Linked DNA regions of Saccharomyces cerevisiae S288C. The gene in region 3 interacts genetically with the main gene of each other region. Each region holds a gene or a part of one and is shown on either strand. Other genes may lie near its edges.

Region 1 (7,176 bases), on a different chromosome or scaffold from region 3:
TTACGAAGAATTGAAACGCTCTGTCTCTATAGATTCTACCAAATATAGTAGAGATCAAACTATTGATTCGACTTTTTACTTGGCCCATAAGGTTGGCGGCTCGCTGCCAAGGAACACAGTATCTTCTAATAATTTGGAAAGGATTTTATCAGCATCATCCATTCACGAAAACTTTCCGTCAAGAACCAGACAAACTCGTCAAAATATTCTTCATTACCTGCAAGCTGTATTAATTTTGTCATTGAGCGGTTTCGCATATCATGAACTGTCCAGAAACTTGCACGATAATCATCTCTTACATCCAGATTTTGCATCGAGACCCCTTCTACTGGGTGTCAAACTTTGTAACTGGCTATCCAATGGGGTTCTGCCAAACTGGTTAGGCTACGGTGTTGAAGGACTGTTATTTGGTTCTGTTGTACCAATTCTGGATAATATTTTTCAAACAGAGGTTGTTAAGAGCTCTGTCCACCATGACAGTTTGACCTCTGTTATTAGAAGTATCAATGCCATGTTGGGAGTCACATTTGGGATCAGGAAAATACAGTGGAACTCCTCTTTGCAGGCGGCAGGGGCATGGGGGCTTCTGAATATTATACTGTGGTTGTTTTTTGACGGCTCAATATCCATGTTAATGAGCTGCATCTGCATTGGGGTGGGTTGTTGTATCTCTTGCTACAAAGATATTATCGACGGTTCCCAATTTTTATATTTCATGGATTTTTATTTCCTTGGTTCTCTAATGTTTGGAAAACTAGGAAGATATCTATATTCTCATTAAAGTCGAAATTCTGACGAGTAAATATTATTAATTAGAAGTACAAGAAGATAACATCAGAATGGCTTATCGTTTATATATAACTAATTAACGTAAACACAGTCAGCCATATGGCTGTAACACTTGACATTTCGAGAAATCACATAATAAGCGTTAAATATAAGAGACCCTTCTCTTTCCCTAAAAAAATATAAAAAAGTACAGGTTGTCTATTTATCTAATGGGTGATTCAGTATACAAACTGGACGACGAAGAGCTGTGGTTCCCCACTGGCGTTGAACTTGTACTACCACCTCCAATAGTACCGTTATTAGACGATGGTGGTCCACTCGATATACTTCCCTCCTTTTGTATCAACGTCGCATTATCTACTACACCAGCGGTTGAGGCAGTTGACGGACAAGTGCTTATCCTTCTTTTTATTATATCTTCTCGTAGTTTGCTGGGATTTGTTAATGGCAGGTTATTCTTTCCATAGTTTATTGGATCATTGTTTTGAATGCCAGCTTTCTGCAAAGCGTAATCACCACTGTCGAAATATTTTCTTTTCTGCATGGTATGCTTAAAAATATCTTTCTTTGATGGCAGCTTTCCGTACATTTTGTATAGCTTCATTTCGTTGGGCGAGAATTTGCTGGTATCAATAGTTCCGCTTTCGCCGTTATTCAGTTTAGTTAAATCTGGGTTACTACTATTGGGAGATAAGTTTTCATTCGACATAGCGGCGAGTTAGATATTCAGGTCCCTTTCTTTCGATAAAAATACCCACTTTAATGAGAAGCATTTGATGGTTAATGGACTTTTTTACGTTCTAGTTGTGATGAGGCCAAGCTATCCAGCCAAAGGGGGCTCAGGCTTCCATACTAAAATTTCAGCAAAAGATCGTTCAATACGTGTGGTGCCCGGGTAACAACAAGCCCTGCTACTAATAGCACCATAACGATTAATGTTGGGTAAATATCCACGGGGATACCTAGCCGAGTGGTGATTAATGAGACTTGTATTGGAACCATGGCATGCTCACTAGGATACGAGTCAGACAAGACCTGGAAAGTCACTAGTATTCTCGCGTAGTCTGACTTAGTTCCCTGAAATTCAGTGAAACGTGGTATTGTGATAGTTTGGAGATTATTAATGGAAATTGGATGTATTGCTGACCAACACACTTTAATCTGATATGTTTCGTCTCGCTGTAAGTCCGCCAGTTCAATATACGTAGTATTATGCAACTCCAAGTCAGTGGTATTGGCCTCGATAGTGATCTGACTCATTGCTTCTCCCGATAGTGATATGGAAGATATCAAGTTTACATCTCTTGCATAAGTAGAGCTGTCTCTTGGTTTTTTGAGGGGAAAGTTGTGAGGAACCTTATATAAGATTGATTCTGTATTAGCGTGTACAAATCCGATGAAAAATACAATTGTAGCGATAAACCAGTGAACATTCTGAGGCCGGACCATCTTCTTTTTAAAAATTGAACGAACCTATGTTGGCTTAGTGTGTGCGAATACCAAGGGTCAACAACATTGCTGTGCAGTTAATCTTCATATTCATGTAAACTTCTCATTTTTTCATTGCATATTAGTTTCCGTCATTGATGATCTTTTATAACAATAGTGAGAGGAAACAACTCCCTCTACCTTCAAATAGGGTCGATTCGGGAATATGATTAAAGAGACACCGAATCAAACGCATACATCCTCACAAGCATTTAGTGAGAAAAAATGGCGAGGCCTCAAAATCATCGCCGCAGTAATTGGACAGAAAGAGACGATAATGATGATTATCTGTTTCAGCGATTTCTAGAAGAATCGGAAACGAGGCATAGTAGAGAGCCTTCACCTGTAACCGAGCAATCTCAGCAAGAACTACAGCAGGATGTACAGCAAGCAATCGATGGAATATTTAACTCCCTTAGGAGGAATATGAGTTCTACTTCAAATATAAATAGAGCAGCTAATATGGATGCAACCACAAACGGAAATGGAGGAATCAATGCAGACACTATAAGAGCCACCAACGCCAATACGGCCGATTCCCCATTCACAGCAAGGCAGCAGAGCCCTCTCAGAACTTTTCTTAGAAATTTATTCATTTTAGATTACTTTATTGGGCTAATTTTATTCCCATTTTCCGTATACAACATATTAAGGAGCGGGTTCAATTCAATGACCTTTTCAGAGAATGATTTTATAATCGAAATCGTGGGATACTGGAAATTTGCCAAGATATTTGGTTCTGGTGGCACGACATTAATAGCATATAAGGATACTGGTAAATTAGGGTTGCTTGGAAAGTTTCATAACATCATTGTATTTTACTCTTCACCTGTGATAAAACATATTATGAAAAGTAGAGATGGCAATGAACCCAACTTAAATTGGATAAGACTAATGTTCGCTAAAGCTTTCGAGCTATTTGTCAAAGTCTCTACCATTCTGATCTATTTAGCTTATGGCGTAAGTGGTACCGTTTACATGGTTACCGCTGGGTTTTTCTTCGTATTGTGTCTATTATTCACTGTTATTAGAAGATATAAAGGTGTCCATCGAATGTTGGTGAGCCAAAGGATTACAGGGCCAGGCGTATTCTGATGATGAATCCACGATTATAATTTGTGTATTTGCTTATCTGTAGTAGTTTCTTTCGCATGTGGTCGCTGTATGAGACACTTGACACCAGAGGACGTTTATTTTGAAGCAACTCCTCTATGTAAGAGCTGTTTGCAAGCTTTCCGTACTGTGACACTTGACCATCATAACGTATATTAACGAACTACTAGGGTTGTTGTGGGCTTCTTTCAAAATGGGAATTGTTAAAAACTATTGATAAACGCCACTCACTACATGCATTGATTGTAAGATTTAACTATCCTTTTTACCTGATGTCTCGAAAATAAGCGTTTACAACAACTACTATTTTGCCGTTCTAGTTTAAAACATGGACGCTATAAAACACTAAATATATCAGAAGATTTCACTTAGACACAAAAGAAGGGGGTGAGATCCCTTATCTGTAGTAAAATGTATACAAATTATACGGACATTGTTTCTTTATTGTATCCATGTATACATGTGGGGTCTTGACACTTACAGGTAGTGAATGCTAGACCTTCGAGACTTAAGGTGAGCAATGTTTTAAAACTTTTCTTTTTTTCCCACTTCAGTGGAGTGTCACCCCGGGAAGATATTCACCTATGGTCAATGTAGCAAAAGATAATAAAAAAATATGTATGGCCAAGAATTTATATGATTCTTTCATCAATTAATTAATTAATTATTTGGGGTATGTCTTAAATAACAATAAAAAGGTGTATAAAACAATCATACTGCTTTAATGGGAAGTATGGTTCCTATTACGAACGAAAATAAAAGCTGTTGCGTGGAAATTTTGTAAAATAATGGTTATGATGACTGGTAAAAAAAGAATCTCTATGCTTCGCTAGATTTAATATCTATCAGTTCATGGGAAAATGCTTTCCAGAGCGGACTTGGAGGTGACACCATTAACGGCAGCAATGGACAACAAGATTTGGGCCTTAATTGGGGATAGGTAACCAGCACCCACAGCGTTCTTTGGAACATCTTTGTTGTCAATAAAGTTTAATGGAGTGTTAGCTTGAGCATATACGACTGGGATTTCAGTGCTTTCAATAGTAGATGAGGTTGAGTTGGTAGAACCAGAAGAAACAACAACCAAACCTTGAACGGCAGAACTCAAGGAGTCAATCAAACTGGAAGAGTAACCACCGTCATAGACAATTGGAACAATTGGAACACCGTTTTCTAATAGACCATAAGGAGTAGTGAAGTTACTGTATTCCTTTCTGATAATCGAGTCAGAAGAGATTAAAGTTGGCTTAGAAGCATCGAAGAACCATTTAACTTCGTCTTGGTCATCAACGATAGCAACAGGCAAACCAGCACCGTAAGAACAAGCAGTAGGTGGAGTGAAGACACCGGAGTACACTAATTTGTCAGAAGTGACGGACAAGACACCACGTTTGGTAGCGTTCTTATTGTTAGCGACTGGAATGGCATAAGCGGAATCTTCAGTGACAACAATAGGCTTTTCGGTGTCAAAAATGATAGAGAAGAAGAATGAGACAGCTTCCAAAGATTTGGCGTTGGCAACAACAACGGCACCGGCGGATGACTTATCTTGGATCGTTTCGTTAACAACACGGGCAACATTGTACAATTCGGTAATGTTCAAAGCAGAAGAACTGTTGAATAATCTGGTGTAGTTTGTGTGGGTCAAAGAACTGTTGGTGATTGGTACTTGACCACCTGTTACAATGATTTGTAATTGACTGCTTTCGGCAGTAGTAGTATTGGTAGTACTGTTTGTTCCATTAGCGTAGGTAACATTGCTAGAGTTAGACCCATTCCAGGCCGGCAAAGTGGAGTTGATATTCTTACTGTGAGATGCCTTAACAGCCCTGTATTTGAATAGGTTTTCGATTGGGCTTGCGACGACGGCAGATGAACATGCCAAAAGGGCAGATAAAACAACTTGGAACTTCATTTTCTATTACTGTATTACTTAACTGACGATTAATCCTGTAGATGTTTTTTGAGCTGATTTTTTACAAGCAAGAAAGAAATAGAAGGGATATTCAATAAGAGCAATAACCCAAGAGAACACAGCAGAAGTTCTAGCAAATGTCACCCTCTATCAAGCTTTTTATATTTCAGAGATGATGGTTTTTTTAGTGAGGTACTTTTTTCTCCCTTTTTCCTAATTATTACTAATAGGGTAAAAGAGATATAATAGGCGCTTTCTTTCTTCAAAGTATCGATGTTGAACTGTAGCATCGAGAAGCCGGCTTCACTCCCTACTGAGATTCTTCGGAGTTTGAAGATGCAATAGAGTACGAATATATCCCTTTTCAGCTCCTGAGCCTCTCCATTAGGAAAAGTATAAACTTTCGTCAACTTCTGCGCTAATTTTCGGCCCCTTCTTCGAGAAGTTTCGATTCGTAAAGGGTAAACTATTTAGACAGTGTACCCTTTTTGGGCTCATGTGTCTCTTGGACACATAACATGTCCACATAACATGCCCCGATTGGGTAAAAGTGAGAGACTTTTTCGCCCGCCGGATCTTCCGCGGATGACGAGAAAACTTCGCAAAAAAAAAAGTCACAAAAAAGTCACATAATAAACCAACGAATGGCCGATGTTTTACGGGTAAGCAAAAGTTTCGACGGTGAGAAAAAAACTCATGTGTCTTCAATCCCACATCAAGGCCCCTTCCTCTGGAAAGAGATCCCAATTAGGGATACCCGATCCGAGAATTTGAACATTGTGAGAACATTGAATCAATGATACCGAATGTTTAGCCCTCGCCGCCACATTACCCAATAGGGAATTGAAATGGAAATCGACTACTGAATTTTCCTATTGCTCATTTTTCTCTTTCCTTCAAACCATCGTCGGTAAAAGAAGGGAGTGAAGGGAAAAGCCAAAGATGATTAGGGATTCCGTCAGACATTCCTAAATTTGCCCTTTTTAAAAAATAGCACGCTTTAAGATATGCGTGTGGAACTAGTTCATCATGGTTTGACCTATCCCGAACGCTTTTGTTTCTAGCAATATTTGGTTATGACGATCTTTCAAGCGACGATTAATGAACTTGAAAGTGTAGGTTTTACAGTGATCGGTTGTCGAACCTCCGCTATCGTCTTCCCTGAGTTTCATTCAGTATTGTAAGACTGGATCATCTTATAATTTATAGTTCGAAAGGCCGAGAGGAAGCGCGTGATGAAAGCACGATCTTTTCTCTTTTACGACGTGTTAATAACAAAAATTATATATTCTTACACGTGTGTATGTTATTTCATATTTTTTTCAATATGGTCGATATATATAGATACTTCCTCTACAAAATCGTCCCCTGATCTGCCATCTCTTTTACCTTTTTCAACTACATCAGCCATTTTTCTTGTTTTTCAAGGTAAAAAAACCAGCCATCACCGAGATTGTGCTATTGTGCGTGGATGTATGGATTAAGGGCAGCCTGTAGGTTACTAGGTACATTGTCTTCGGAAAGGTGGTCGTTCAAATACTTCAAGGAGACATATGATAAAGCTGATGTCTATTTTGGTAATTTTTTTCCCGAAAAAAGTGCAGTTATTTATTCATAATGTGCGTTCTACATCCATAGATAAATACTTGAATAAAGAGGAATGTCCTTAACGCGTCCCTACAACGCATTTTTTCTTGTCAAATAGTCAAATCTGGAGTAAGTGTAGCCAATAAAAGGTAAATCTTCCTTGACTGGCGCACTTCCACCTTGCTTTGTCATCTGTTCCCTTTGTTTGGCAGCTTGTGCCATAGCTGGGGAATCTGGAACATTCTCCAACTCATCGGTTGGGAAGAACCTAGTATCGGTGATGG
Region 2 (7,915 bases), on a different chromosome or scaffold from region 3:
GGGAGTAACAAGACTTGTCAAAAAGTATGTGTGTCGCAATGGAGGTAAGACATCTATGAGACTAGCTATAGAAGGTCCATATGGTTCTTCATCTCCGGTCAATAATTACAATAATGTATTGTTACTCACTGGAGGTACCGGTTTGCCTGGACCTATTGCACATGCAATTAAACTTGGAAAGACGTCAGCGGCTGCTGGAAAACAATCTGTAAAATTAGTGATTGCAGTTAGAGGATTCGACGTACTCGAGGCTTATAAGCCGGAGTTGATGTGTTTAGAAAATCTGAATGTACAGCTTCACATCTACAACACAATGGAAGTCCCATCATTAACCCCTAGTGATAGTTTAGATATTTCTCAACAGGATGAGAAGGCTGATGAAAAAGGCACTGTTGTGGCAACTACTTTAGAAAAGTCTGCCAATCCACTTGGTTTTGATGGTGTTGTTTTCCATTGCGGGCGACCAAATGTTAAGGAACTTCTACATGAAGCGGCTGAATTGAGTGGCTCATTATCTGTGGTTTGCTGTGGACCTCCTATTTTTGTTGACAAAGTGAGGAATGAAACCGCAAAAATAGTTTTAGATAAGTCTGCAAAAGCCATTGAGTACTTTGAAGAGTATCAATGCTGGTGATCATTTTTTACTTAAAACTAGTCATTTCATTAATAATACCTATCCAAATTTTAGTATGTCGATGGAGAAAGCTGCCTATAACTTTATGGTAAGGAGGTAATTGAAGCAGAGTACAGCAGTCCTTTGATATTTTATCTAAATCTTAAATATCTCTTTTATGGAATTTGTGAAAGTCGTAGTGTGTCGCATGGTTTTTTTTCTTAAGAAGTTAGCTCTGTATAGTCCCTGTATTTAAAGAGTTAATATTTCGATAAACCTGCAATGAAACCCTTTCTTGGCAATTTGGCTATATTTAAAGTGTGAACAATGGTCACTGAATTTTTATACGGCCCTCAGGCAAATTTTATGAAACGTTAATTGCGTGTTTCAGTATTATACACAGATGCAAGGAAGATAAACAAAACTGCATAAGCTAACTTCCGTCCTGGAAAATTTACCACAAGCTTTATAATGGCTGTTATTTTATTTACCATACCATCCGTTCATATATCTTTTCAATTTTCTCTGTATTCCTGTTTTTGTACTGTGGAGTAATATCACACACCGAGTCTTCGATATAATCGACATAACTCATGCATATAGGATACTTAAAGATAGAGTTTGATTCAGAGTGCCGGATAAAAAGATGATTACCGTCGCTAAAACAATGTAATCGGGATAAGTGTATAATAGAGGCTACATTATCCAACATATGGTTCTATTAATATTTTCGCGACGCCAACGTTGTCGTCTTTTACAGCTTTTTCTTTTTTTTTTTTTACCTGGTTTATTCATTATTAGTTGTTAACTATCATCTTGTACTTAGAAATAGATATGTGATTAGCAAGTGCTGAAGAACAATGAGATTCTTAGCTATGACCTCGAAATACATTATTTTTGGTCCTTAGACAGCAAGACTTTAGATTCTCAAACAGCTCTAATGTGCCAGAGTCACACGTGTAAAAACTTGCTCTTAATTCAGTCAATAACGCTCGGTCTAAACGTTTGTAAAAGTTCGGTTGGAAGATAATAGATTCGATGCATGATATCTGAACCTAGTTCCTTTTCTCAAAATGCACCGAACCAACATTAGGTAGCGAAATATGGTTTCGCGTTAAGGTTAAGGTTTATAGGAATGACAAACGCGTAAATCCGCATATTTTTGTGCTGATGACAAAAGTTTAAAAAATGTTTCATTTCTTGGGTAGAGCGTTTTATTTATAGTATATATCAATAGCACATAAACCTATGTGGAACATAGCTTCATAAATCTTCCTTAAAAAGTATGCCATCAAACATGTATAGGACTAAAAATATAATCGCCCTAAAAAAGTTTCAACCTTATCTTATGTTTCTACTGGGGATTTAGTGGAAGATTTTAGTCGGTAGAAGGTCACTAATATTTTCTTTTAAAAAACCAGTTAAGCTTTCAATTTGCAAAAAAAAATGTTTTTATTATCTATTATTGTACTAAATTATCATTATTTATAAAACGAGAAGACAAATCTAAAAAGCTGATAAAGCAAAAAATTTTCTGGCAACTCTATCCCCTTCTTATCTACAGTGTGAAATAAAAGTGACCTTTAGACTCTCCTAGGTAATTGTTTATAACGAAAAAGACATTTACTCATATGTGATAACTTAACGTTTAAATGCAATTCATTTTGGTCAGCTGAATAGGCTTCACGCACAGCAATCTCATCTCGAGCTATTATAAACCCTCTCAATAGCCATTGGCATAAACTAACACCAAAGTACGCAAAACCCACGAATATTGCTGTACGATAATAATCGTTTCCATTCGTATCAGTTGAACGAAGTTCCAGACCGATTATGGGGGCAACTAAGGCAAAAGCCGCCATAAAAATCCAGGTACTACCAAAGGTACCAGGAAGCTTTTGAAGACCAACAATGCGTGTAACAATTGAAGCAATTGTTGGCCAAATTGTTCCCATAATAGAACCAACCAATAATCCAAAAGCTATCGCAGTGGCCAAATTTTTACAAGGTATCCACATGGCCCAACAAAGGATGGCCATGACAAGGTGCAATATCATGCCAACTGTTAGTGATCCATATTTATCAGCAATGTGACCCACAATTGGTCGTCCCAGCAGAGAGCCGACACTCACCATGCACGATACGTATGAGCCTTGCTTACTAGTATAACCTAAACTAACGGTAAAATCAGACAAGGAATACAAAAGGACAACATATCCTAACATAGCAAATGATACAAATCCAAAAAGTAACCAGACCGCGAAATTTGAAAGCACATCATAATCTAGCAATTCAAATTTGTAAGATCTCTTATGTTGACGTAGGCCTTGATGTGTTGTTCTGGTCAACATAAGCGCAATGGTGCTAAGTGATGTGCATATTATGCACTGAGCAATGAGCGCCCATTTAACGCCCCTCTTTTGTAGAATACTTTGCATTCCCAAGTTAAAGACAATACCACCTAACCCGCTTCCAGCAGTTCCTATACCAGAGGCTAAAGATCTTTTATTTCTGAACCATAGTGGGATGAGTGTGACACTGGGTATGAAAATAAATGCTAAACCGAATCCAATTAAAACGCCTTGCGTGAGATAAATTTCCCAGAGTGTGACAGAAAAAGCTGCAAGCAGTAGCGCTGCCCCTTGAAACAGTATCCCTAAGCCTATAATGAATTGAATTGAAAATATATGATAAAGCCATGTTATAACTGGGGCAAAAAAAAGTCCACAACTGAATGCTAACCCACCTATAGAAGCATAGTCTAATTTACTCCCACCAGCAAAAGTATTATTCTCTAAATAATGCGCTAAATAAATAGCATAACCAGAATTTGCCCCCCAAGTAGAAAAGTTGTACAGAATAAAAGCAAGAAGAATAAACCACCCATATCCTCCATCAGGCACCTCGATCGAGATTGAGGTATTCCCGTTAATATCGTCTTTACCATTTAAATTCAATTTATTTTCAACATCCCTATGATGATCTTCATGCCGTTCTTCGGACATCGCCAAACGGTTAATAGTGCACGAATTAGTATATTCTAGTATCAGTTATATAGTTCTATATCAATAGCAGGATACTGAATTGAATATCCGATGGCATTTTTATATATGTGTGTTTAGCCTGTAAAAATCTGAAGAATGGAAATAATAAGAAAACGGAATATATTTTATTATCTCATACCCATAGTGAGTACTCTTAAAAATATCTTGATCTCAAAAGCACCTTAAAATAATTATTGTCTTCCATGCATCGCCTCTATGTTAAAAGCGGGAATAGCCATAAAACGGAGAATCATAAAAAACCTTGAAAAGATGAGTGTGCACTTCAAGTTTGAAGTCAAAAAATATTCGAAACGTCAAAAGAAGAGAGCAACTTGATCTAGATGTATAGCAACTGATTACATATCAATTGTCCAGCACTAGTAACCAATAACGGTTGCTTTGGAAATAATGAATCTGTAGCAATATACTTTCCATAATCAATAGAAAATGAAGAATACGGAACTTAGTCAAAAAAAAAAATTAGATAGGCAGAGTAGAAGAAAGCCTGCAAAGTCGTGCCACTTTTGTAGAGTAAGAAAGCTCAAGTGCGATCGAGTAAGACCGTTCTGTGGAAGTTGCTCTTCTCGAAATCGAAAGCAATGTGAATATAAAGAAAACACTTCCGCCATGGAGGACCAACTCAGGAAAAAATACAGGAGATGTTCAAAATTAGAGATGGCTCGTCGTATTGAAGAGCTTGAATCTCAGCTAACAAAACAATCCCAGCCTAACATTCACGAAGGACAAAACCCTCTTTCCAACATGAGATATTTATCTTCAAAGCACAATAGGCACATTCTTTATGGACCAACGTCGTATCGAGCAATATTAGCAACTCAAACAGATACTTTTGCCAAATACAGAGAGGAGATATGGCAAGTCCTAAAACTCAGCCGTAACAACTGGAAAAGAGAGCATCATTACTCAACACTCTCGGAGATTAGTTCCATTGAGACTGCCCCACCGCACTCAGGCTCACCAAGTGTTATTGAATACTTATGTGAATCGCTTCCAAATTATGAAGTTTTGTGTGAGTATTTAACTGATTTTTTTGCTAGCGATTTTTACGATAGTTACCAAATTGTTCATAAAGAAAAAGTATTAAGGGATCTGCAAGATTGTTTTGTTAAAGGCCCAAGAAGTCATAAAACTGGTCAGCACACAATAATTTCCCTTAATCTGGACAGTAAAAAAAATTATTATAAAGTGGGTGTTATGACAGCCATTATGTGCTTAGCATCCCATCCAAAAGAAGTGCCAGAGGCTATTGAAGTCTTCCATAAAGTTTTAACGTCTTTTGTTTCGGCTAAAGTTTTTTATACTGAGCGTGTGCAATTTTTATTTTTACGTTACCTGTACATAAATGTGGCGGGTCTTGACGGGGGCGATCAGTCACATTGCATATTTATTCATGGTCTGACAATTGACACAGCTATCCATATGGGCCTTAATGAAGATCTTCGTCGTTTATATCTGAGTAAAAATCATCCAATAGAGGAAATACCTTACTTGGAGAGATTGTGGTTATGGATCCTATTCACGGACGTTAAAATTTCACTCTCTACAGGAATTCCGGTCCGAATCAACGACGATTTTGTAAACAAGGTACGTCTAGAAAACTATTCTTCATCAGGGGACATCCTTCTGTATAAAACAACATTAAGACTGAGAAATATTATGAAACAAATTCATGCTCGTGAGAAACCGCCTGACATTCCACTCATCATCGAGGACTTAAAAAAGTTCACCATTAAAATGTTTAAGCCGTTGGATTTTTACTTAAATGCATCTAATTTAAATGGTAATGAGTTCACCGAACTTCAATTATGGCATGCAACTCTCCATATGATAGGAAGTTTATCCAATCTTTATACCTTAACACATCAAGATTTTGATGCGAGAATATTCAATTTTAGCGTCCTGGCTCCACTAAATTCATTACATTTGTGCTTTAATGTCCTTGAGACCTATTTTGAATTAGACAACAGCAAATTATCTTCTAAGTCATTATGCCTCTCCAAAAAATGGCCCCATTTAAACAATGCGTTGTTTCTTATTTATGTGAACGCTTTCAGAGCATTAATTCAAATTTATACCATTTTTCTACAGTATATGGAAAATAAAGATATCCAATTATTCATTCAGAGAAATTCGTCCGCACTAACTTATTCTATATGTCCTGGAGACTTTGAGGGTCCACACAATAAGTGTATTTCACTGAAAATTGCATTTAAAGAAATGGAAAACATATTTGATCATATTCACCAAGAAAAGTTGAAACCTCTTACTCAAATTTGGCAAAACTCCTATTACTTTTCTATTATTATATCAATGGAAAAAATAGGAAGAAGAGCTTTTAACAAAGGAATGAAAAATATCGATGAAGGGCCTGAAACCGAAAATGATGCAACTGAAAACAGTTTAACAACTATACTAAATGATTTAGAGGGACCTTTAGAAGATTTCTCGGAAAATTTCATCGATGATATATTAGGTTCTCCAAGTGCCTTCTTTGATACAGCTATTTCCGGGTGGAGTAATTTTGAGGACTTCTTTTCCAGATAGGTACAACAATTGAATTATAAAAATTGAACCTGTAGTAAGTGACTCATTTTTTTTGCCAACACGAAAGGAACTCTTTGTGAAAGCTATTGGTGGCACCCTCTGTTCCTTTCGGACTTCTACATACTTTTCTAGATAGTTGCTCTTTTTTTTGGGGTATTTCAGGTGTCACTGCCCAGCTATTTTTCATTTTTAATAACTAAGATAACGTTTGATATGTAAGTTCTAAGTATGTTTCTCTATATTTTAGGTGCACATCATAATATCCTATGTATTCTAATTTGCAAATGAATATTTTGAAAGAGAAGTATTTTATTCCGGAAAAAGAAATTCGATATTTTTCTGGTATATTAATGCTAATTGGTAAGTAAATTCAATATTGTCTAGTGCAGACTCAGATATAGTACTGTCGTTTTGGCCGAATTGAAACCTCTTCAACATATACATATATATACTGTGGTTTAATCACCATAATGACCTTGGGTTTTGTAAAATTTAAGTAAAAAGAAATATTTATTAAATATAATTAATTGAAAAAGTGCCATGTTCGTAGTCAAAAAGAAATGAAGAAGTGCCATGGGAGGCTTGTAATTAGTATTCCCACATTCATTTTCGGACTAAAAGACTTTTCAAGTAAAGTTTAGTATTTATAAACTGTTACAATTTTATTTTTATCATACACGATTCTTTGAACATCAACTTCTCTCAATACCATCCGCCTTCAGCGGCTACAATTACGTAATTGCACCAAGGCATTCGCGGAGAATTCACGAATTTGCAGACGCTAACAGTATACGACTCCCAACACACGTTTAATGTTGTACGAATTCAAGAGATAGAAATATTTCTTGCATGGAAGCCGTTTAGAGCAGACTGAATATGGGCTTAGACAATAAGCTTCTGTACGAGGGTCCAAATCTAAAATTCGGATATTCTTTTTGACCGAAAAAGGAAATGTCACAGGCACAGAAAAGGGTTTTATAAGGCACCTCGGCACCCTATAATTGGCATTCTCACATTCTACGCATACGAATACACATGAGTGCCATAAAACAGTACTCCACATACGAAGTCTATGAAAGATGTATGATTCGTTCAGAAACAAGAGCATCTCCATAGTGATAATGAGATTGTGTGAAAGATGAGATATAGAGGATATGTGAGGTGCTAAATGAGCACTTGTTAACGAATCGTTTAAGTAGTGATGACTGATGAAGGCATGGGTATAAATAGAGCTGCTTCAACTGTATGTCTTTGAGAATATGTTTTTATTCCTTTCTTTCCTGTTAAGCTTATATCAGCACTAAGAAACAAAACAAATATAATGGTCAAATTAACTTCAATCGCTGCTGGTGTCGCCGCCATCGCTGCTGGTGTTGCCGCTGCCCCAGCCACTACCACTCTATCTCCATCTGACGAAAGAGTTAACTTGGTCGAATTGGGTGTTTACGTCTCCGATATCAGAGCTCATTTGGCCCAATACTACTTGTTTCAAGCAGCTCATCCAAGTGAGACCTACCCAGTTGAAATTGCTGAAGCTGTTTTCAACTATGGTGACTTCACCACCATGTTGACTGGTATTCCAGCTGAACAAGTCACCAGAGTTATCACTGGTGTCCCATGGTACTCTACCAGATTGAGACCAGCTATCTCCAGTGCTCTATCCAAGGACGGTATCTACACTATCGCAAATTAG
Region 3 (7,380 bases):
ACAGGAGTATGAAGCCTGGGAAACACCTGAAGACCAAAACATAATACCCATTATTTTGTGCACGGTAAGCTATCAAGCACAAGATGGTATGGATAAAAGATACGGCTTCACTTATGTGCAGGGTGCAGCCGACGATCACGAGCTCTGGTCTTTTGGTTTGGATTCAAATATGTTTTGGGCCCATATAGAATACCTAGGCGACGCAAGTTATTCAGACGACCAGTTACATGATTACATCATGGATTTGGCTGCTGCAAAGCTGAGAAATCAGTGTTATATACAAGATAAAGGAAGCTTGGATGAAGTCTTTGGAAACATTGATAAAATTACGAATGAGATATCTCTAGGAAAAGTGAGTTCAGGCTTAACCATCAATAAGAATTTGAAACAGAAATTGAAGTCAGAATATGGTAAAGTTATAATTTTCAGTAATTCGGTGACTGTTGCTGAAGATACAGACGATGAAGAAGAAAGTGGGACAGATCCGTTTATTTCAATATACAAGTTGCAAAGCGGAGACAAGAAAAGTTCAAAAGCTTTACGATCCACATTCCCTAGAATCCATGGAGAAATTCAATCGTTGTTTACAAATCGAGATGAAAAAATAAAGCCAATGCTAATATGCTGCAATACAGGTACTGATATGTCAATCGGTGTCATCTTAAGTATCCTTTGTACCAAATATACTGAAGAATGGATGCTTACGTCGGAGTTACCGGACATCAGTAAGCTTATTGTAAGAAAACACTTGACAAAATTGATTTCCCACTTGAAAGGACGCAACGTTAACCCTTCAAGAGCAACACTGAACAGCGTCAATAGCTTTTTAATGTAGTGAGTTAGGCAATACTGAGATGTTTACTCGCAATGTCACTGTATATTTTAATATCAAATAACGTCAGTTTTTATTAGAAAAAGAGCGGGTTACCGTTTATCCTGAACAGAAAAGGTTCATTGAAAAAGAGCCCTTCAGACATTGGCTAATGAAAAGAATATGTAAAATCAAGAACAAATTAACGAAGCTCTCCTTCGTTAACAGTCCACTACCTAAATTTATGATTAATGTGGATAAATAGACTGGTTAAACATCCATCCTACAGTGTTCTGAGGTTTTACACGAAGAGGCTCTGCACTGTATCAGTGAAATCGCTGCGTGAATTTGGTGTACTGCCGAATAGCACAATATGTCATTCTGTCTATCCCCGAAGAACGTATGTAATGGGTAGGGCTGTCATAAATGATATTTTAATCAAAAAATCCTATTCAACTCACACGGTATGTGCAATTGATCGATCAAAAGATGAAAATAATGGGAGCGCTTATGACAAATTCGAGGCAAAAGGTATACCTATAGATGTTCACACATTAAAACGAATTATCAGCTCGAGTGGAATGGATGAATCCGAATTTTCCAAGAGTATAAGTTACTTATTCGCGAAAACCGTGGACCCTGAACCGAAGGATGTTCTGTCTTTAGAGGACCTGTCTTTTCTTTTGAGCAAACTATACACACAACGGTTTCAAATTAGGAGAATCTGTAGAGACATAAACGCTAAATATTCAGAATTTTGGTTCAAACTTTTTTCCTTATATGCAGAAAAAGTTGATGCCAAGAGAAACCAAGTTAACTTACGGAATACGAAACTAGATGCATGTGAAATATTTGATGCAAATCTTATGATCAAGAACTTTATAGAGCTCGGTCAATTAGGTAAGGCTCAAAAAATTTTAAGCTTTATTCTTGATAGAAATCCTGATATATTACTGTCTCCGAAAAATGCAGATATTAGCACAATAGTTCACTTTTTACAACTGCGTTGTGGCGCTTTGGCGCCTTATTGGAAAATACCAGATAATAGTGAGCAAAAACAAGGTTTTTTAAGAAAAATGGTTCGACTAGGTGCGAAAAATACGTCAATTCGTCTTTCTTCTACTTACAAAGCCATGGATCACCAAACATTATTAAAGATTGCTGATCTTGCTCTGCAGGAGAAAAAGCTTTTGAATTCCGAGGATTTGTTGTCCACTTTAATTCAATCCTTTGGACACCTAGGCCAAACCCAAATATTGGAACGGTGTATTGAACATATATGGCAAATATCACCCCAAGAGTTTCCTAGTCACGTAGTAATTAAGCACCGAGGGTGCTATCCTAGTTCCAAAATACTCGTTTCAATCTTAGTGTCATTCTACTTTAATGACCACGATCTTCACAGAGGCCTAAGTATTTTGGATTCATTCATAAAGCACTATCCGGACGTGAAATTGGATGCGCTATTTTGGAGAAGGCTGTTTCAGCTAAGTCATTTTGCTTGGACACCAGCAAACGACAAGAAAGCCACTTCTGTTGTTAGATGTTGGCATTTAATGAAGCAGTGGTATGCATCTAAGCGGCTAAGGCCTTCAGTTGATTATGAGACGTTGAGACAACTGTACGATATCATGAAGAAAACAGGCAATTTCCCGCTTGGAATTGATGTTTTAAGGAGTTTCAAACCGGGGATCGAAAGAACGAGAGCAGAAAATGCTGGAAAAGTTAACAATATCATTATCAAATACCAAAAATGTATTATTAAGGAGCTTGTAAATAGAGGTAGATTTTCAGCGGTAAGGGAATTCATTGATAGTTATGGTTTTGATAGAAAAATGACCAAAGATTTGAATATTTTTTGTGCGAATCGTATGTTTCTAAGAAGTAAGAAAATGAAAAACAAGATTGAGAACAAAAAGGAAAGGGAGAAAGTGCGGCTAGATAGTTTCGATGACGATGAAGATGATGGTATGATTATAGGTAGCCTTTGGTAAGAAAAGTGTAAGTAGAATTAGCATTTATTTTTCTCCATATTCTTATTCTATAGGATGTAAATAATATGGGACTTTTTTATATATATATCTACAGTGTAGAGTCTAATATGTATAAACATCAAATTCATTAACGAAGACAAATCTGGAAAATATCCACCATCCGTATCTAAACCACACAACTTGGGATTCGTGAGCATTTAGCATAGTGGCAAACGCTAGTACGTATTGTGCATGTGTATTCATAAGTGAAAGCTTGTCTTTTTCGGCGGCTGTGTTAGGCGGAAGCGCCTGAATTATTCTACGGAATGGAGAAATCAGGTCGTAAAGTATTTTTAGGATTTCCCAAATAAAGGAGTTGTACTTTAAAACGATGTTGTTCTTGTAGCTTCTCAAATAAAGCGCAGTGACATGAGGTGGTTGTTCATTTCTTTTGGTCTTAGGTTGAGCATAATCATCCACCAACTTTTTAACGGCAGCATAACAGCTTTTGTGGTTGATATGATTTGATACACCATATGAATCAAAGGTAACGATAATCTGGTTCAAGTTATGATTCTTTATATCTATCTTTTGTGAAAGAGAAGAAGTTATAGAATCAATATCCCATATTTCGTCCATACCATCCTGGAAATCCATCACCTGTACGGAGACTGCTCTTTCATTGTGTAGCAATAAAGCGGCCGACTCATTTAATTCTCTTACCCTGGTTTCGCCAAGACCTTCGGCGTTGCCCTTTGATAAGCAGATTATGTTAAATGGGACGGTTCTCGGAAAGTACGAATTCAGTTGAGAAATTATGGGGGAAAAAAACATAACTTCGTCGTCAGGGTGCGCTATGACCAAATTGATTTCATAATCGCCATATTTATGAGGAAAAATATGCTGCAATGATGCATTGTTTCGGGAGACGATTTTGGGCGTAAAATAAATATATAGGATCGTCAGTACTATTGCTAGTTTAGTAATCTTGTAAAGCAATTTTGAAAAATTTACCTTTGTACGCCTCAACATCTTCATTTAACTTTTCTTCAGGGTTTGAAAGAATCTAATATACGGCTCTAGCGTCACCTATCTACACTTAACAATTCGATAAATAAGGAGGGCAATGCAAGATTATAAATAAAAGCGCAGCGTCGATTTTCCTTTTTCTATGACGTTAACGTAACTAGTAAACCTTCTAGAAGGGACGACTCCAATGAGATAGAAACGGCGAAGCGGGAATTTAGGAGTACTTGTTACCCGGCTACTAGTTTATTTCATACAAACACATTGACACATTCGCACATATACATCTACGAGAAATTACTGAATGTGAAAAGGATCAGAGGCAGTTAAAAGAGGTAACAACTTTTATCATCAGATTGTGATACGACTTATACTATTGAATGTGTATGATTACACAACTTTCCTTCTGCAGAACATTTTTACATCTGTTAAGATGGTGCAACATTTCTTTTTATTAGCACATTACTTTTGATGAAAGAGTATATTCAGTTATCGTAGCTCCTCTCACTTCTTTCTATCCGGTGTTTATTCGCGATATGAGTTGTGATATCAGAGACAGAGAGAGTTTATGTGCGTAACAGGAACGGAGAAAACCAGAGTAATTGAGTATTATAAGCAATAAATCATAAAAAGACATTCTTTCTCGTGCAATTTTTTGGTATTCGGGATAATCTTCTACTTGAAACTTCTTTTTTTCGGTGTTTAATTTGCCTATTGGTAAATATTTTTGCCGCCGAGGTTCTCAGTGATTATATTCGTATTAAGCGATAACCGAGACATGCATGGAGCGGCGGGGCTGATATTTTGTGGGGTACGAAAGCATGATTGGTCAGTGACACTCAAAAAAAGAAAACAGCCGTAAAATAGTAGATTTTGTTAAACTCCCCTTTAAACCTGTGATATTGTAAAAAGACGAAGAATTTAATAATTTAATAATTCATTACGGTATTTATTTCTTCATAAACAGTTACAACACCCTAAAGAGAATTTACAAGTTGAGTAAAAGACAAGACACAAAATTATGGCAAATAATAATTCTGATCGACAAGGTTTGGAACCCAGAGTCATTAGAACTCTGGGTTCACAAGCGCTTAGCGGTCCTAGCATATCTAATAGAACTTCAAGTTCGGAGGCAAACCCTCATTTTTCCAAGAACGTGAAGGAAGCAATGATCAAGACAGCTTCTCCGACTCCTTTATCTACACCTATTTACAGGATAGCTCAAGCTTGTGACAGGTGTCGATCTAAGAAAACAAGGTGCGATGGAAAAAGACCACAGTGTTCGCAGTGTGCTGCTGTCGGATTTGAATGCAGAATAAGCGATAAATTACTGAGGAAAGCGTATCCAAAAGGGTACACAGAAAGCCTGGAAGAAAGAGTACGCGAACTGGAGGCAGAGAATAAGCGTTTGCTAGCTTTGTGTGATATCAAAGAACAGCAAATAAGCCTTGTTTCACAGTCGCGACCACAGACATCAACGGATAATACCATAAATGGCAATTTCAAACATGATTTGAAAGATGCTCCATTGAATCTGTCTTCTACAAATATCTATTTATTAAATCAAACGGTTAATAAGCAGCTACAAAATGGCAAAATGGATGGTGATAATAGCGGTTCTGCAATGAGTCCATTGGGGGCACCACCTCCACCGCCACACAAAGACCATCTTTGTGACGGCGTTTCCTGTACAAATCATTTACACGTCAAGCCTACTTCTACGAGTTTAAACGATCCAACCGCTATATCTTTTGAACAGGACGAGGCACCTGGTCTTCCTGCGGTAAAGGCATTAAAATCAATGACGACTCATCAACGTAGCACTCAATTGGCAACTTTAGTTTCTTTATCCATCCCAAGATCTACTGAAGAAATTCTGTTTATTCCTCAGCTTTTAACTAGGATAAGACAAATATTTGGTTTCAACTCAAAGCAATGTTTGTATACGGTTTCATTATTATCTTCATTGAAAAATAGATTGCCAGCACCACGGCTTCTAGCACCTTCAACATCAACCAAGTTAAAGGAGAAAGATGAAGATAAAAAACTTGATGATGATTCGGCTTTTGTGAAAAGGTTTCAAAGCACAAACCTCTCCGAGTTTGTCGATTTGAAAAAGTTTTTAATTTCTTTGAAATTTAACATTAACTCGTTTTCAAAGCAATCAGAAAAGCCGGCTAATGATCAGGATGATGAACTACTTTCCCTCACTGAAATTAAAGAGCTTTTACACCTTTTTTTCAAATTTTGGTCTAATCAGGTACCAATTCTAAACAATGACCACTTCTTAATATATTTCAACAATTTTGTTGAAGTCGTGAAGCATTTATCTACAGAAAATTTGGAGACGAATAACACTACTAAAAGTACAGTCACCACTAATCATGAAATATTTGCCCTAAAGCTTCTGATGATGTTACAAATGGGGTTACTCGTTAAGATTAAAATGGAAAAAATAAAATACACTGTACCGAAGAATCCGAAGGCCAAATATGCTAGATTGATGGCATATTATCATCAGCTTTCCCTAATAATTCCTAAAAATCCTTATTTTTTAAATATGTCCACAACTTCATTACCATCCTTACAATTGTTATCTTTGGCATCCTTTTATTATTTAAACGTGGGTGATATTTCGGCAATCTATGGGGTAAGAGGCCGTATTGTTTCTATGGCACAACAATTGAGACTTCACAGATGTCCTAGTGCCGTATTAAGTGTACACTCTAACCCAGTTCTACAAAAATTTGAGCAAAGCGAGAGGAGATTACTGTTTTGGGCAATTTATTACGTTGACGTTTTTGCCTCATTGCAACTTGGTGTTCCTCGTTTACTTAAGGATTTTGATATTGAATGTGCATTACCAATTTCTGATGTTGAGTATAAGGATCAGTTATCTATGGAAAATGAAAAAGCAGATAAAAAAGCTAAAAAGATTCAACTGCAAGGTCAAGTTTCAAGCTTTTCATTGCAGATAATCAGATTTGCGAAAATATTAGGTAACATTCTAGACTCGATTTTTAAGAGAGGAATGATGGATGAACGTATAACTTCTGAAGTTGCATTAGTACATGAAAACGCACTGGATAACTGGAGAAATCAACTTCCCGAAATGTACTACTTTCAAATAACTGTAAACGGAACTGTGAATTTAGACGAGATTAGAGCAACCAATCAAAGAAATACTGAGACCAAATTTGATAAGAAAGACATAATATTATTTGAAAAGAAGATTCTATTGCTGTTTTATTTCTTGGCCAAATCTATGATACATTTACCGGTTATTGCAACCAAACCTTTGCCTAAGAATGTTGATAATGCCACAAAGAAGAAACAGTCAATGTTCAACAACGACTCTAAAGGCGCAACCAACCAGGACCACATGATATTAGATGTTGATATGACTTCTCCTGCTATAAGGACATCATCCTCATATATCATTTTACAACAAGCTACCAATGCAACGCTTACGATTTTCCAGGCCATTAATTCCATGTATTTACCTTTGCCATTGAATGTATCAAGAACGTTAATCAGATTTTCTTTGCTCTGTGCTAGAGGTTCTTTGGA
Region 4 (8,039 bases), on a different chromosome or scaffold from region 3:
CGGGTTGGTCAGTATATTTTGTATTCAAGGTTTTTGAGCTGTATCTTTTCCGTCCAATATTAATTTCTAATTTACGAAATTGGTTGCTGAACTGGGTGTCGAACGAGGGCATGAAGCCATAACGAGGGTAAGAAGAAAAGGGGTTCTTGCAGAGTAAACTGCGATTCTTCAGATAAACTATCCCGAACATATTGACCCACTTTCAGGTAGGTCATTCAAAGCTTTTTGATTGACGGTAGATCAAAGTTGTGTTCTACGTATTTACGTCTTTTTTGTCGTATTTATTGATGACCTTTTGCCATCGTTAAGTGGAGAATTCGGCCTATTCCTAACCTCTTCCAGAACTATGAAACAAAAAACATAATTCAAAATTGTAGTTTGATAAAGTATTATCTATAAACTATTAAATCATAAATATATATTTCATAAAGCGTTAAAAATTGAAGATCAAATATTATTTTTATTCCTTGAAGGAAGTCTATATTATTTAATTAACTGACCTACTTTTTTCCGAACATCTTCTTGTAAAATGGTTGATCATCATGCATTAGATCATCAGCGTTGTAGTCAGTACCTCTCTTGTTTGGTGGAACCCAAGAAGGTGATTTCCATGGCAAAACACCTTCTTCCCATAAGGTGTTAACTTCTTCTAAAGTCAAACCTTTAGTTTCTGGAACGAAGAAGAAGACGTAGAAGTAAGAAAAGACCAAACAGCCCATGAAAACATAACCGTAGTAGAAATCAATAGCACCTGAAATAAATGGAGTAAAGAAACCAATCAAGAAACCCCAGATCCAGTTACAAGCTTGAGCAATAGCCATACACTTGGACTTAACTCTCAATGGGAAAGTTTCAGAGTTAACAACAAATGGAATTGGAGCCCAGGTAGTGGCAAAACAGAATAAGTAGAAACATGTGAAGACAATCATACAGTTACCAGCACCCTTAGAAGACCCGTTCTTCTTACCATTTGGCCACAATCTTGTAACACCAACAGAAGCGAAAACAACCATACAAGCTGTCATGGAAGCAGCACCCCATAATAAACATCTACGACGACCATATCTTTCGACTAAGAAAATACCAACAAAGGTGGAAGCAAAGTTGACAATACCCAAGACAATAGAAGTTTCAAAAGAATCTTCCAAACCGACAGCAGTGAAAACGGTAGTACCGTAATAGAAGAAATAGTTATCACCTGTCAATTGTTGCAATGATTGAATCATAGCACCCATGATCAAACGTTGGAAAACCTTAGTCTTAGTGCTAAATATTTCACCCCAGGAGGCATTACCAGCTAATTTTTCAGCTTCAACTGTAGCTTGAACAACTTCGACTTCAGCCATAACAGCTGGATCGTCTGCGCTGACCTTATTTGAAAGAGCAATAGAACGCTTAGCTTCTTCAATTTTACCGACTTCAACTAAATAACGTGGAGATTCTGGAACGAATGTCATACCACCAATCATAAACAAAGCCCAAGCGAAACCTAGACCTAATGGAACTCTCCATTGGACAGAATTGGTGTAGGTCTTGGTACCGTAGTTTGTACAGTAACCCAAGAAAATACCCAAAGTAATCATAAGTTGGTAACATGAAACCAAAGTACCTCTAATATGCTTTGGAGAGACTTCAGAAATCAACATAGGAGATAAAACGGCAATACCACCGACACCTAAACCAGAGATAATTCTACCAATGAAATATTGGTACCACTTGTTGATTGAGGCAATTTGGATAATGATACCGATAATGTAGATGACAACAACGACAATCAAACCCATTTTACGACCATACATATCACCTAATTTTGCTAAAATAATACCACCAATGGCACAACCAATGTTGAAAATGGAGACAATTAAACCAGTTCTAACCTTAGACAAATAATAAGTACCATCGTGGTGCTTCATACCAAATCTTCTGATAAAATCAGTTTGAGCAACAAAACCAGAAATGGTACCAGTATCCCAACCGAAAACAAAACCACCGAAAGCAACCATTAAACAACAGATGGAAACTGTAACGTAGGCGGAGGCGGGCTTCTTTGGAATTTCAACGTAGTTATTAGATTCTTCGTGATTCTCGTCGAAATCTTTCATGTCATCTCTTTCAGCTTTGTTGGATGGAGTAGACAAAGCGGAATTAGAATCGGATTCAACTGGCGACAAAGCATCAGCTGGAGTATTTTGGACTGCTGTATCCTCTTGATAGGCAGCTTCTTCAGACATTTTTGGCAGATTTTATTGTAAAAGTGTTTCAAAACCAAACCTTGATAAGAGGCTTTGAATATATCTTTTCTTTATGGTTTCTATTACTCATGAAGAGGAATTGAAGTGAATGAATCGAGAATAATGAATAAAACACTGAGTATTTATATAAAATTTTTTCTAGATGACATATTATTCATTCCCCAGTGTTGAAGCTTTTCACCACTAATTGACTTGAAGATTATTTTAGTTGCTTTTCTTACCACCCCACCTTCATAAACTTAAAAATATTATATTAGAATTTGAGTTTTCCTCCGTTGTTTCTTAATCAGAATCGTTAGACGCCGAATAATGGACTGTAAAATCAAAGCAGCTGGAAAAAACTCTGGAATTTTTCATGAAGGTGGCACTAAATCGTCGAAGAGCTTCTTGACCGTTTTTATCCGAAGTGTTTTTCCTCTTTCCCCAAGTTTTCCTGCAGGCGGGGGAATATGGGGCCCCATGGAAAAAAAACCGGGGGGGGTGGGAAAAAAAAAGGGGTCAGAAAAAAAAACTGCTCAGGGAAATATCTTCTTCTCCACAGAAAGAGACGCAGGCCAGGAAAAATGTGGAATATTATATAAACATTGTTTTTCCATTTTGTACGGATTTTTTTGGAAGAAAGCGGATAAACCGAAAGAAAAAACGGGAAATGGTTCCGGTTTGGGCATTGTTTTTCCTATTGGGCAAAAAAAAATCCCGGAACCAGCTGACTCGGATATTTTTCTTCCTTGTTTCCGCTATGCTGCTGCAAGTGACTTTACGAAGGCCAAGCGTTTCTTGGTGGAAATTACTGCAGTGTACTGGGTTTCGTTGGAGGCCCAGCCTTCATCTGCGTCTTGTTTATTCATTCTCATCTGATTATTATATCTTGATCGGTGCAAAAAAATTTTGAGGTACTTAAAATTTATTTTGCATAGAGATATTCGCATAAATGGAAAACCTAAGCTTTTCAGGTACGACTATTTGGCAACATCGTTGAACCTGGCTTTTCGGTCCTAACTTTGCACCATCTAGGATGAGACTATCTTGACTGTTTTACTTTTACGCATCGCTAGAAAATACGTGCGCGTTGCCAAATCAAAATTCCCGCAAATTGATGCGGTAGCGTAGTTCTGTTCCAAAATGAAAGTGAAACAACATAATGTTCCTTCTAGTTTTCGTGTCTGAAAGCTAAACCTCAAAGTTGAAACTAAAGCATGATTCCCCACCTCCTTCCTATTAGTCTTTTTTCCCGTAAAAGTTGGAAAATATCTGGGGTACTTGCGTCAGCTGTTCAGATCTTCTCTTACCGCTGTCGTGTCTTGTCTACAATGTCAGGTTGGCAGCCTAAGTTTTGGATTTAATAACCCTAGGGCTTTTCATTCTTTTATCAATCAGAACATTTACATGAAGAGGGCTGGAATAAAAAAAAAATATTCGGTTCTCCTCCATGCATAATGACGTAGTATTCTTATTGGCGCCAAACATAGTGTCATAATGCTTTTTCAACGATTTTAAAGTAACTCTTAGTGGATTGGAAAGGTCGCCTTTTCGATGGTAGCGTGCATTTTCTCGTCATTTTTTTTTTACTTGTCGTCTTTTCTTTACTGCTTCACCTCTTATCAAGCAAGTGTTTTTCGTGTCTCCCTGTGCCAGTCAGAAAATACATATGATTGGCAACTGTATATCCATTGAGATCGACTCGGTTATCTGTTAATGGAAATTATTGCTAGTAATTATAAATACCTAAAAACAACATCCTAACAGGCTTAAGTAACACTACTAGATGTTGAAGCAGCAGCGTTGTCAATTTCTATTCATTTGACATTTTTCCGAAATCATAAGCGGGCGTTTGAACTATGTATAGCGCCTATGTGGTATTAACCCATACTATATCATATAAAATTTTTCCTCGGAAGAGTGCCAGAATGAAATTTCTTGTTCCTTGGTGAAGGTCAAGAACTAGCAAAGAAAAGAACATCTGTTTATGAATTTGACAAGAATTTTGTTTTAACACCAATATAATATCACCTTTATAAAATTTACTGAGAAATTAAATACTGTATAAGTCATTAAAATATGCATATTGAGCTTGTTTAGTTTATTTCCTGCTAAACAAACTCTTGTAAAATGGTTGGTCATCATGCATTAGGTCATCAGCGTTGTAGTCAGCGCCTCTCTTGGATACTGGAACCCAGGAAGCTGATTTCCATGGTAGAACACCTTCGGCGTACATATCATTAACTTCTTCTAATGATAAACCTTTAGTTTCTGGAACGAAGAAAAAGACGTAAAAGTAAGCGAAAACCATACAGCCCATGAAAACGTAACCGTAGTAGAAGTTGATGGCACCAGTAATAAATGGGGTGAAGAAACTAATCAAGAAACCCCAGATCCAGTTAGCAGCACTGGCAATAGACATACACTTGGATTTGACTCTTAATGGGAAACATTCTGAAATAACAACGTAAGCAATTGGGGCCCAGGTAGTAGCGAAACAGAAAATGTAGAAACATGCGAAAACAATCATACAGTTACCAGCACCCTTTGAAGATGGTTGATCTTGACCGTTTGGCCATAATCTGGTAACACCAACAGAGGCATAGACAACATAACAGCAGACCATACCGACAGCACCCCACATCAAACAGTTACGACGGCCAAAACGGTCAACGGTGTACAGAGAACAACAAGTGGAGAAGAAGTTGACGACACCAAAGACAATAGAAGTTTCAAAAGAGTCACTTAAACCGACAGCCTGGAAAACAATGGTACCGTAGTAGAAGAAATAGTTATCACCAGTTAATTGTTGTAGAGATTGAATCATGATACCCATCATAGTACGTTGAAACATGGCTGGTTTACCAGTGAATAATTCGCCCCAAGATGCAGTACCAGCGGCTCTCATTTCTTCGACACTGGCTTCGATAGTTTCCAACTCATATTGAATGTATGGATGGTCAGGTGGGCATTTGTTAACTTTAGCTAAAGAAGCCCTGGCTTCGTCGATTCTGCCAGCTTCAACCAAATAACGTGGAGATTCAGGAACAAACATCATACCACCAATCATAAATAAGGCCCAGGCGAAACACAAACCTAATGGAACTCTCCATTGGACAGAGTTTGAGTAATTCTTGGTACCAAAATTGGTACAGTAACCTAAGAAAATACCTAAAGTAATCATGACTTGGTAACATGAAACCAAGGTGCCTCTCATTTCACTGGGGGCGACCTCAGATATTAGCATGGGAGATAAAACTGTGATACCACCGACACCTAAACCAGAGATAATTCTACCAATGAAATATTGGTACCACTTGTTGATCGAGGCTATTTGAATAATGATACCGATAGTGTAGATTACTACAACGACAATCAAACCGATTCTACGACCATACATATCACCTAGCTTGGCTAAGACGATACCACCAATGGCACAACCAATGTTAAAAATAGAGACAATTAAACCAGTTCTCACCTTGGACAAGTAATGACTACCGTCGTGGTGCTTCATACCAAATCTTCTTAGAAAATCAGTTTGAGCAACAAAACCAGAAATGGTACCAGTATCCCATCCAAATATGAAACCACCGAAAGCAACCATAACACAACAGATAGAAACCGTTACGTAGACACCTTTTCCGGTGTTTGGAGGGGCAACGGCGGGTTGCACTTGACTTTCACTTAAGTTGTCGTGAAAACTTTCATTTTTACCTTCTGGAGTATTCATGGCCTTTGAACGACCAGATTCCAATTCATATGAGTTGGATGAATTGGATTTCTGAGGAGATATTAGATCGGGAGTTGAATTCATGATTTTACGTATATCAACTAGTTGACGATTATGATATCTTTATAGATTTTAAGGTGGGGAAAGAACATGAGACCCCAGATGGAATTGATTATGGGGACATTGTTGCCTTTATATATAATTTCAATATACTAATTCAAATGATTAAAAACGTGAGGGGGACACGCAACTTCGGGTGTTAAGAAATATTTTGCTACATTAGATAATGGTGGAGTTTCCTGGCTTGTCGGATAAAAGCCATCAAATGTCGCAGCAGCTCATGTTTACGTTTGCTGTCTTCTGCCCACGTCATATGAGTGGTATTCTTCTATCAGCACTTGATGAATATTCTTTTTCTCATATATCTGAAAGACAAAAGATCGGCACGGCAATGCCCTGCAGCATTTCTTCCTAGTTTTTCCGAATTTCCATTACGTATTGGATCTTGTGCGCATATTTGTCAGTCCTTCACGGAAAAAAAAAAAGAGCACTGGGTCACTTCGGAAAAACTTTTGACTCAATGCAACAGTGTCATAATCCTTTGCGCTGTCTCTTTGAAGAAAAATCAGGAGTGCAAGATATCGATTAATTCCTTGGAAGTTATGATGGTTAGTCTTAGTTTAACTCTCTTGAAGAAGGGTTTTTTCAGTTGGTCAACACTCTTTAGAGGTAAAAAAAAAAAAAAAAAAAAAAAAAAGAGAATTCTTCATGTAATTTACCATGATTCTACGTTTTTGCAAGCAAAAATGAAGATAATCCGAGCGCATGCGCAAGTAGTCCCTGCCATGCCGCTTCGGAAAAACTTTCGAAACCAATACTCCTTACATCCGCCTTGAATTTAGGACCTACAATTGTTGTCTCTTCTGCTTGAACCAATAAGCCCTAGAAACCTTACACCCTAATTTGCACAAGAAAACTACGAAAAAATTTTTTCCTCTTTTTTCCGCAGCTCCAATCTCGCCCTGCTATTTTTTTGGTTCGGAGAAAAATAGTCGGTCGATATGAATTGAAGTTTCATTGTGGCCACTCGTTTAGGAATGGAATAACCTCCGCGAATGGAAAAAAAGAACTCGGAATATCAAAAATTCCGGCTCAAAGGAAAAATTTGCTTCAGGAGGGGGGAATTATATTCCAGATGAGACCTGCAAGGATTTCTGTGTGAGGTTTTCTCGGAGGAATAATAGTTTTCCAAAAATTACTTTTGGCAACTACGTGAATATAATTGACTACGGATATCCTTCGAGAAGGCCATAAAAAGAACCGTGACAGGGCCAAACAGAAAAATAATGAAGACAAGTTTGCTTTTTCTCTCACTGTATTTGAGGATCGGAAGCTTTTTGCACTGAAAATATTCTGGGTTAACAAGGTTTAAAGAAGCAAACTGCCACAAAGTATATGAGAGTATAACCGGACGGTACCTATACTTTGAAGTTGGAATAAATACGGGGTAGACAAAAAGGATGTGTTTCTGTATGTCTGATGAGAATGATGTCATCAAAGAACGTAAACAACAGTAACTGTCTATATTCTTGCTTTTTATTATGCGCTGTTACAGCAGGTAGCGGAGTTTTCAGTTCTTTCCCTAGTATGTAGTATGAAGGATAATACGGTAAAAGAACGGGGCTCTTGATTCATCATATAAATTTATTTTCCCCTGTTGAAACCTCGAGTAACCGTCCTCACTGTTTTATTACCAAGGATGAGCTCGAGCAGTTGTAAGAGAGAAGTGGGCAGAAAAGTATAAGTAACAAGAAACGATATACAAGTTCTTGTTGTTAGGCGTAGCAACCCTTTCTCCCCTGGTTTGATCCTACTTAAAATAAAGAAAAAAAACAAAAACGTCATGATGATTTTGATATTATTAGACATACGTAATTTAGTTGAATTAAAGGAATAACAGGCAGCCCTATTAACCACGGACAAAATATCTCTGCATATGATTGCATTATTTGTAAACTATGAATGAACATATGAACGAAAACGATTAATATTAATATTAAAATTTGAAATGGTGCAAT

What was found.
Region 1: mutations in GPI12 (region 3) and PGA1 together harm fitness more than expected from each alone (negative genetic interaction), as found in Saccharomyces cerevisiae (one large-scale study listed by BioGRID).
Region 2: mutations in GPI12 (region 3) and MCH2 together harm fitness more than expected from each alone (negative genetic interaction), as found in Saccharomyces cerevisiae (one large-scale study listed by BioGRID).
Region 4: mutations in GPI12 (region 3) and HXT4 together harm fitness more than expected from each alone (negative genetic interaction), as found in Saccharomyces cerevisiae (one large-scale study listed by BioGRID).

What each region holds. Positions count from the first base shown.
Region 1 is NC_001146.8:334,674-341,849, reverse strand, and holds PGA1 (Pga1p), read right to left. Parts: upstream 2,239-7,176; coding exon 1,642-2,238; downstream 1-1,641. Other genes in the region: NSG2 (Nsg2p), read left to right, coding at 1-781; IGO1 (phosphatase regulator), read right to left, coding at 992-1,498; ASI2 (Asi2p), read left to right, coding at 2,503-3,372; YGP1 (Ygp1p), read right to left, coding at 4,241-5,305; serine/threonine protein kinase CBK1, read right to left, coding at 6,983-7,176.
Region 2 is NC_001143.9:1,810-9,724, reverse strand, and holds MCH2 (Mch2p), read right to left. Parts: upstream 3,619-7,915; coding exon 2,197-3,618; downstream 1-2,196. Other genes in the region: FRE2 (ferric/cupric-chelate reductase), read left to right, coding at 1-634; YKL222C (uncharacterized protein), read left to right, coding at 4,105-6,222; seripauperin PAU16, read left to right, coding at 7,544-7,915. UniProt on the Saccharomyces cerevisiae protein: Probable transporter. Does not act in the transport of monocarboxylic acids across the plasma membrane.
Region 3 is NC_001145.3:828,781-836,160, reverse strand, and holds GPI12 (N-acetylglucosaminylphosphatidylinositol deacetylase), read right to left. Parts: upstream 3,823-7,380; coding exon 2,908-3,822; downstream 1-2,907. Other genes in the region: RIT1 (tRNA A64-2'-O-ribosylphosphate transferase), read left to right, coding at 1-835; AEP2 (Aep2p), read left to right, coding at 1,063-2,805; DNA-binding transcription factor CAT8, read left to right, coding at 4,832-7,380. UniProt on the Saccharomyces cerevisiae protein: Involved in the second step of GPI biosynthesis. De-N-acetylation of N-acetylglucosaminyl-phosphatidylinositol.
Region 4 is NC_001140.6:286,581-294,619, forward strand, and holds HXT4 (hexose transporter HXT4), read right to left. Parts: upstream 2,232-8,039; coding exon 501-2,231; downstream 1-500. Other genes in the region: arginine--tRNA ligase MSR1, read right to left, coding at 1-190; AHT1 (Aht1p), read left to right, coding at 2,562-3,110; hexose transporter HXT1, read right to left, coding at 4,333-6,045. UniProt on the Saccharomyces cerevisiae protein: Low-affinity glucose transporter. Can also transport xylose.